Linked DNA regions of Coturnix japonica. The main gene of each other region encodes a partner of the protein of the gene in region 2 in a complex. Links are inferred from orthologs where the notes say so. Each region holds a gene or a part of one and is shown on either strand. Other genes may lie near its edges.

Region 1 (4,596 bases), on a different chromosome or scaffold from region 2:
TGCTGGCAGAGTGGCTGTTTCTCACAGTGCAGGGCATTTCTGAAGTCCCAGGTGAGGCACAGCACCTCGGTACGTTCCCTGTTAGCTGATCATCGTGCTGACAAGAAGCCCTTCCCACTGGGCTCCATATAGGCAGACTGGGGGAAGACCTGCCTTGCTTGCCACAATGCCAGTCCTTTCCTGCATAGACATGACACACTGGGGCCTGAAATTAAGCCAGGCAAATAACCATGAGTCAGGAGAAAAGGCGCAGTGTTTTGCTTGATGAATAGCAGCAAACAAACAGCAACAGATGGGGAGGAGGGATGAATTCCTGATGCACTCCCTACTGCCCGCCTAGGCAGTCTACAAGCACTAAATTCTGGCTCTTCCAGCCCTCCCACCATGGCCTTCTTGTCCTAAAAGAATCCAAGCAATCGTAAAAAATAACATACCCTGGACTTTGATCTTCTTCACTGTTTTCTCTGTGCTGTTGTTGACCATGACAGTGACTGGAATGGGCTCACCATGGTAGTACACCTAGGGGGAAACTGATGCTCAAAAACCCAGTCAGAAAGCTTCTCCCAGGCCATAAACCACTCAGATCCCCACAGAGGCCAGATAAAGTAAGGTGACCCTTCCCAATCCTGTCTCCAATGCCCACCTTGGCCTCAAATGACTCTGATAACAGTGTCCCTCTTTCCTCTAGCAGAAACTACTAACAAAATATCACATTAGAAAATTAGGACAAAGCTGGATCAGCTGAGACAGAGTCTGGTAACACAGAAAACAGCTGTTTGGGTAACAAAATGCATATGGGTATTGAAGTACAACCACGTCCACATCTCAGGGGCAAACTCCTCACCTCTTTACTGAGGGAGGCTTTCAGGTGCAGTGGCTTGTTGGACATGAAGAACTGCCACGTGGTCTCCGCGCATGGTTGGGGTCCTGGTTCTTCTGGAGCAAACTGCACTTTACGGATCAGCAGCCGTGCGGAGTTCCTGGGAAGCAGCAGAAGATGCCAGGATGGTACCTTGTGTTTGGCTGAGGCAGGAGTTTTGCACTCACACAGGCTTAGTTAAACTCAAGAAGTCCACCGACAAGTGGAACAATGAAGACATACATTAATACTGTGCTGTTACCTCTTATGAACTCTCTCTTCCAAATTCTCTGTTGAAAAAGCTTTCACCTCGAAGTCCACCCCGCAGCTCTGCCAGAGAGAGAGGACAGCTGTGAAACCAGCGTCACAAGCCACACCTGCAGATGTTCAAGCATCTTTCTGTGTCCTAGAAACTGGTGGATTCCTGACAACTGCAAATTCTTCTGGCCTATGACACACCTGGTGTGTGTCAGCATCCACCTGCTCCATGCTACAAAGTTTATATTGCTATACCTGGCTTTAGGCCTAGCCCAGCTGTTCAGAGAAGCATCCTGTGAAGTACAGGAGGACTGTTTTAAATGTCAGAAACCTAGCAGAACATCTCACTGTTTGGTGATATGTCCTCCAGAGGCTGGTTTTTATTGATACACACATACGAAACAGATCTTCTCTGTTACCCTTAAGGAAATGGCAAGCACTGCAGATTTAGCACAGCCTTGCAGCTATTGAGCTAGATTGTCTTCCTTATTTTGAGGAATTGAATTCCACCTGTAGCTCTTACAGTCAGGTTCCTGACATTCGTGGCACAGCAAAGTCCATGGCAAACACCAGTGCACCAGTCTCACCTTATCAACATCACGAGGTGAAGGCTGCAAACAGACTGAACAAGGCAGGTAATCTGGGAACTGTGGGAACAAAAAGAACCCAGAGCAATATTATGCAGATTACTGTGATATCCGAATTAACTTACTGCTCACAAAAGGTACAACATAGCCCCGAAGACAATAGGTCATGTACATACAGCAACCCTGTGAAGTTCCAGCTCAGAGAGAAGCTGGGTGTTATTGCTTACCATACATGAACAAAGCCTTATAGGAAGAAAGGGACTTAGAATACTAACAACTGAGAAAACACAGAAAAAAAGTAAAAAGAGGCCCAGAAACATAGAGCTCCTGGGTTTATAACCAAACACTAGAGCACTGGAGATGCAGATTAGAGGCTGGGATATCTGGCTCCCATCCAGGATCATCAACATGGCTCACAGTGGTGCCAGTCACTGTTCACACAGGCTTGAAGCTCAAGCAAGGCATCTCTGTTCCAGAAACACAGCCATTAATGGCTGTTAAACCAGCCAGCCTCCAGGCAGTGTCCATTTGCTGCTGGTCTGCACAGGGTCAACAGCTTCACCAACAAGAAAGGCTGCAGAAAAGAGGGTCAGGAGCTCTTAAGAGATACTCACTGTAAAGAAAAAGGGGTAAGCATTTTTCCCCAGCTTCTTTAGCAGAGATTCCTGCAGGTGGGAGAGAGACTCTGACTTGTTTTCAGGTGGGTACACCTGGACCCTAGAGAAGAACAGGTCTCTCCGGAAGGTGAGGCCAATCACGTCAATGTCCTCCTGACCATACCGGAAAGCACAGGTCAGAGTCACGTACACTGGAAGGAAACACAGCCAGCCATGTAAAATCCTGCACTAGTCATGGAAACTCCTTTCAACACTGTTGTGTAACCCAGTTAGTATTCATATTTTAAGTTTCTAGACACATTTCTTTGAGTAAAAACCTGTATTGCATAAAGCCTCAAACCTTTTTTCCCCTTGATCGCTGTAGGATCCACCAATACAACACCATCTGAAAGAAAGGAAAATTAAAAGGATTACCAGAGGATAATCAGGCTTAGGAGAGCAGGAAGGGCAGCGTGCACACTTGTGGACTTACCCACAGGTTCCACATTCCCTATGTTGTCAATGAAGTCACGCTTTCCCAGGTAGATGGTCAGCTGTAGGGAAAAGGTGACCATGGTTGAACTACAAAGTGTTGATGGTTGTGTGCTCGTGGAGTGGGAGGATGTAGTATGGAACAGTAAATTACTTAGAGAATGGAGCAATCCCATTTTAAGCATGTTTATTTTTCCTCCCCACCAAACAACCTACACCGGGCTCAGGACAATCCACACGCTTTGGGACAACAGGAGATTGGAGCCAACGTGCAACAGCTCCAAGAAGTAAAACACAAATACCTGCAGATGGGACAGAGCTATGGATGTAAATATTTCTGATGCCATCAGATTCACTACCAAACAGTGAGTCACTTTTGGTTCATACATTTACCAGCAGGACTGCAACCTGGGGGAATGAGAGTTGCCTTTTATGCAAGACCACAAGCAGCTCTCCCATATGAGCTTTGTTTACACTGTCTCCTAAATACACACTAAATATGGGTCATGGGTCCTTCTTCAGAAAAATGAGAGGACAGGAAAGAGGTTTGTATTAAGTCTTCATCTCGACTACATGTGAAACTCGTACCTATTTCCACCCATTATGACGGTACTTACAGCTTTGTCACGGGAGCTTTTCTTGAAGATAACTTGTTTTGGAGTGGAATCAGCATTCTTCCCTGTCTTCTGAGATTCGGGGCAGCTCATGACCAATGAACAAGTAGGTAACTATGGATGAACAAACTTCTTCTCCCTCAAAGAATCCTGGGAGACTCAAAGGTTCCTGGGAGAGACATCAGAGGTGAGGGTGAAAAAGAAAAAAGGATGAGGTAAAAATGTAGGCACAACAGTTGGGTAAAACATTCTAGTTTGCCAATCTGACTCTCCCAATGGATGCTTGAGTTCAATACAAAGGTGGTCTCCGTATAAGGGGGCAGCTCTTCAGAAACATTGCAGGAGACCGAGGACTTTTTTTTCTGTCATTCAAAACATTATATGGCCAGTTAAAAAAATCCAGAGGCAAAGAGGTAGCTTGGCCTTTACAGATAGATTTGAAGAGAGACTTTCCGCGGAGTACACAAGTAGAGATAAAGCTGATCTGATCTAGACAGGCACTTCAGTTTTCAGAAGGTTTGTCACCAGAGGCTCTACATTGTCATGAGTCAAGAAGGCAGGTCAATCTCAGTCAATAACTAGATAGGATACAGGAAATAAGGAATACAATTTATGTGGATTTTGGCTACTTTCAGGTTTGGGATTTATTTTTCACTATTGCAAGCGTACACTAGAGCTCTTTCACCTGTCCTGGGACGTTTGCTAATGAACAAAGTCTTGGATGTCCTGGAACATCTGCCACTGAACGTAGCCCTGTGTGAACGCAAAGGAGCCTAGATAAGGAGTGAAGAAATGAGAACATGAAAAAAAAAAGGTTGTCTGTGCTAAGTTAGAGGAGTGCTTCACCAAGCAGAGTGGGGAGGTGCTCAAACACCATGGCAGTGAGTGCAAAGTATCACACACAAGGAAAATACAACCGCTGTCTGATATGCGCAGTTATAGTTTCTACCTCATAGGAAGAAAGTCTTGCGGTAAGCAGGGAAGTTATTAGGAAACAGAGCATGCTGTTGATGCTATTTTAGAACCCCTGATGCATCCACATCTTGGAGCCAGCACGCTCAGTTTAAGACCCTGAACAGTGGTATGCAGGACAAGGTGCAGTGGGCACAATTTGGAACACAGGAAAGTCCATAAAAATGTGAGGCTTCTTTGCAGTGATGGTAACAGCTCTGACACAGGTTGCCTGCAGA
Region 2 (4,483 bases):
AGCTTCCCAGGAGCAGCCGCACGTTATCCCCCCCCCTAAAACCTGGGGAAATTTCTGTCAGATTTTTGAAAATATAGAGAACTCACCGCCCAGCGTAGCAAAGAAGCCCTCAATGTAGCACCCTGTTACTCCAAAGACAAAGTACCCGTTCATCGAGGTGTACATGGTGGTCGTGAAGCCTCCAAAGACCATGAAGAGGTCGGCGACCGCCAGGTTCAGGAGGATGTAGTTTAGAGGCGTCCGGAGTTTCTTGTGCTGGATGGTGACGTACAGTGTGAGGAAGTTGACAGGGAACCCAAGCAGGATCAGCATGAACATGTAGGCAGCCAGTGCCGAGAACTTCCAGGGCTCAGCCAGGTAGTACTGGGGGTACTCGAAGGGGCTTCGCACCACCCCCGTCTTGTTGGACATGGGCACGTAGAAGTCTTGGCCTTCCGTCCCATTCATGGCTGCGGTTTGTGGGGCGCCTCTCAGTCAGACTCAGCGTCAGTTTCTTGTGTGTGGGGAATCACCCCTGCAGTTGGGCTCCCACTGCTGCTCAGCCTTCGCCGTCTCCCTGCAGAGAAGCAGCTGTAGGGCGTCACTTATAAAGTGCCCCCTGCAGTAAGCTCCAGGCGTCAGTGTCAGCACGATTAGGACTTAGAGAGTTATTAATCATAATCATCCAGGGGTAATTGGCTTTTCTGGGTGGGTATTAAGGTGACACCTGTTTCTGGCCCATGCTGTCATTGTTGGAGACCATGGTTCATGGTCATACATAGACAGGTAGCTCTGCACTGCTTGTGTGGGAGCCTAAACCAGAGGGCAGCCCCACCTGCAAGCATCGCTCCCCAGTGTTCTGTGCCACTGCCTGAAGGCTCAGTGCCTGCTGCTTGGGCCCAGCGCACTCACTGCATGCTGCGGTCTGGGCTGGACGCCTGCTGCCCATACTGCCCGTGCCCCACAGAGTGCCCCATCAGCACATCACAGGCTGCAGCGCCCATCAGTTCAAAATGCCTCAGTTTACCCACACAGGGATATGGGAAGTGGGACATGTTACCACCAGGCCCACAGGCAGAGAGTGCCAGAGAAAGACAAAGCACACAAGATCCTTCTTGTGGTTGCACTCAACCAAAGTAAGCAGGAGTGAATTTTGTGTTTTAGGCACTGCAGCGGCCGCTGGGCTGGATGTGCTTGGTGCATTCGTTCCATAGCAGGGGCCTGTTCTTCCAGCAGGACTGCAGCGCTGTGACAGCAGCCTGGTCCGTCACAGCTGCCATTCGCAGGGTAGGCTGATGAAATAGACTTCTTCGATGTGCTCTCTGCCACCTGCTTTTTGTGCTGCAAAATTTGTCTGGAAAGGTTTGAACAACACAGTGAAGCACTGATCCTGCTAGCAGATTTCCACTCGCATCACCTTCTCTGTTCTTGGCTTTATACACATGTTGCATCATGGCAGCTACATCGGCAGCACATAAAAAATAACCTCATCCACCTGTCCTGGACAGATATTGTGCTGCCTTGATCCATAGAAGGGCTGTGGACAAGGCACAAGTTCTGAGCTGAAGCCAACATTTGACCTCTTATTCTGGTGACAGACATCTTTAGTGTCCTTGAAACCTTCTGAAAGTGATGAATTCCATGTAAATGGGCATTAGAGCTGCAGGAGAAGCTGCTGTTGGATCTGTCTTCCTACCTGATGTGCCCAGTGTTGCTTGGAACATTCTTTGTGCCAGTCAGCAACTGTTAGATGTTATCTGTTCTTGACTTTTCAGAAACAATGGGACAGCATGTGCAGCAAGGGGAACAAAGTGGAGCCTTCCACAATCTCTTTGCTGAACAAGGTTATTCTTTGTAGTTCACACCATTGTGATTAGTCTTTGAGCTTCCAAAGCTATTTTGCCCCCATCTCTTCCCTTTTTTGCATCCTCCGTTTATCACTTTTCTATGTCAATGCAGCCAAGAGCAGAGGAGAGGTACCTGAGTGCTCCATACAGTGCAGGGGGGAATGCACCAGGCCTGGAGCTCACAGGTGAGAGATGGGCAAGGGCTTGTGTCACTTTGGCCTTAATAAGCCAGCTTCAATTCTTGCCATGTTTTTACCAGTGTTCCCTGCAAGTTAGTTCAGTGCATGCAAAACAGTTCAAAGGGAGAACGCAGAAAGCTTTGTGTTCTCTTCAAACAGAAGACCAAGCAGAGAAACTCGTCCTCTGTGTGGGGAACATTTGACAGAAGCATTACTACCACTGAAAGCCTGGCTTCCCATAACTAAAGGTGGGCCTTGATTGCCCCAAAGTCCTCCTGCTGTCAGTGTGCAAATGCCACCTTCCCACACATCCTCTTCTGGAACTAAGTCCCTCCCAGTTAACTTTTCATGTGTTGCCAAGACCGGAGAAGTGCCTCTAGCTAATTGCAGATGAAGCTATTCGTATCTGTACCTGGGCACATCAGATTACGGGTTTATCTTCCCAATACACAAATATGCCACGTAAAGCTCTGATGCAATAAGCCCCTGCTGAGGTTAGCAGCTGCTGTTCTAAGCTTAGGACTGACATGCGTCACCGCAGGGGTCCAGCAGTGGGAAAGGCAGGTAGTGAGTGGTGCCAAGGCAGAAGTGCAGGGCAAATGGAAGAGAACAGTTGGTGAACCGCCCACAAAAGCTTCAGAACAAGGCTTCGTGGTGGGACTTCTGCACATGCAGGGCCTTCTCATCACGAAGTCAGCAGGGAGCTCCAGTGGTACGAGGCATCCTGGAGCTGAACATCTTTCCAATATACGAGATGTGTGGAGCACAGCTCTGCCTGGAAAAGCCCAGCACTTCTTTCAGACCCAGACCATATTCACAAAAAAAATATAAATAAATAAATAAGTGAAGCTCCCCCATTTGATCCATTTTGTCTCTGTGTAATTACAAGCCTTGTCTATTTATTTCTATAATTTTTCATTCCTGATAGCTCTGCAAAGCCAGCTCATTTCAGGGAGAATGAGCTGAATTCCATTCTGGCTCACATATCAAAGAGTGTTGTTTATCAATGTCAGTTGCAACGTCTTTATTGCAAACAGTGATGTATGAGTCAGAAAGCAGACAAGCACTAATTAGAACAGAATGTTTTTAAAGTGGTAAATTAAGCAAATTTAGTCAGGAACCGTTGAGAGACTCAGAAACCCTGCAGTGCCATTGGATAGAATCACAGCACGGTTGGGTCAGAAGGGACCTCACAGCCCCCAGCCCCACCCCACCATGGGCTGCCCCTCCAGCTTGGACTACCCAGGGCCCACCAGGGATGGGCAGCACTGCCGAGGCCTCACTACCCCAACAGTAAAAAACATCTTCCCAGAAGCTAATCTAAGACCACCATCTTTTACATTAGAGCCTTTTTACCCCTTGTCCTATCGCTACACTCCCTGATAGAGCCCCTCCCCAGCTCTCCTGTAGGTCTCTTTTAGGTACTGGGAGGCCACAGTCCCCAGAGTCTCCTCCAGCCCTAACAGCTCCAGCTCTCAGCCTGGCTCCACAGCAGAGGTGCTCCAGCCCCTGAGCATCCTCCCAGCTCCTCTGGCCCCACTCCAACAGCTCCGTGTCCTTCTGACATTGGGGGCTGATTGCAGCACTGCAGGTGGGGCCTCACAGGAGCACAGATTTCAAAGCTTTACTTTCCAGGGGAACTCAGGCATACACTGCCATCACATCAAAGTGCTGCTGTTCACACGGTAGCTGTTTTACCAGCAGCTGCCAATCTCAGCTAATAGTTTAATACAATAAAGTAAAATATAATTTCCCAACCGAAACAAAGAAAGACTTATGGCAGAGAAAATGTCATAACAAAATTTATGCTAAGGAGGGCACAATTCAAACTGGATTTACAGTTACTGGATTTTACAGACAATTTAAAGTCAAGAAACCTATCACTTCTCCATTCAAACCCAGCCCAGCTGGTTGCCCACACAAATTCTCAAGCTCTTGCAGAACGACTCAGTGAACACTCTCTAGAGATTCAATTATACAGGAATATTTCTGTGTACTGAGACTGGCTGGAATAGAGTTAATGTTCTTCAGAGCAGCCCATGTGGAGCTGTGCGCTGGATTTGCAACTAAAAACAGTCTTGACAAAACATCAGTGCTTTAACTATTGTTGAGAACTGCTGGCAGTGTTTAAGGTTTTTGTTGATCCCCACTTTGCTGCCCAGCAATGGGCCAGAGGTGGACAAGGAGCTGGGAGAGTTCACAACCAGGACTGCTGAGCCGAAGGGTGTTCCATGCCCAGTGACATCATGCTCATCTTCCCATGTTAACATTACTCACATTGAGGCCATGCTTTCCAGGAAGTGTTGGACATCTGCCTGTCACGGGGAAGTAATGAATAAATTTGTCATTGTTTTGCTTGTAAACATAGCTTTGCTTACGAAACTACCTTTATGTTGACCCACAAGCTTTTCCACTTTGGCTCTTTTGATTCTCTCCTGCTCTATCAAGGTGGGTGGGAAGTGAGCATACAACTGCATG

Evidence for each region.
Region 1: the proteins of RHO (region 2) and SAG are in contact, whole or in part, in a crystal structure (PDB 4PXF), measured with the Bos taurus proteins. The link is inferred for Coturnix japonica from reciprocal best matches to the Homo sapiens genes RHO and SAG. Residues at the interface, in NP_001014890.1 of Bos taurus: Arg135, Val138, Val139, Lys141, Leu226, Glu249, Val250, Met253, Met309, Asn310, Lys311, Gln312; in XP_010802144.1 of Bos taurus: Asp71, Ile72, Met75, Gly76, Leu77.

Annotation. Positions count from the first base shown.
Region 1 is NC_029524.1:1,894,656-1,899,251, forward strand, and holds the start of SAG (S-arrestin), read right to left. Parts: upstream 2,993-4,596; 5' UTR 2,978-2,992; coding exon 2,794-2,977; intron 2,707-2,793; coding exon 2,662-2,706; intron 2,513-2,661; coding exon 2,319-2,512; intron 1,765-2,318; coding exon 1,705-1,764; intron 1,190-1,704; coding exon 1,122-1,189; intron 981-1,121; coding exon 845-980; intron 520-844; coding exon 435-519; intron 1-434. UniProt on the Homo sapiens protein: Binds to photoactivated, phosphorylated RHO and terminates RHO signaling via G-proteins by competing with G-proteins for the same binding site on RHO. May play a role in preventing light-dependent degeneration of retinal photoreceptor cells.
Region 2 is NC_029527.1:16,836,683-16,841,165, reverse strand, and holds the start of RHO (rhodopsin), read right to left. Parts: upstream 2,810-4,483; 5' UTR 448-2,809; coding exon 87-447; intron 1-86. UniProt on the Homo sapiens protein: Photoreceptor required for image-forming vision at low light intensity. Required for photoreceptor cell viability after birth.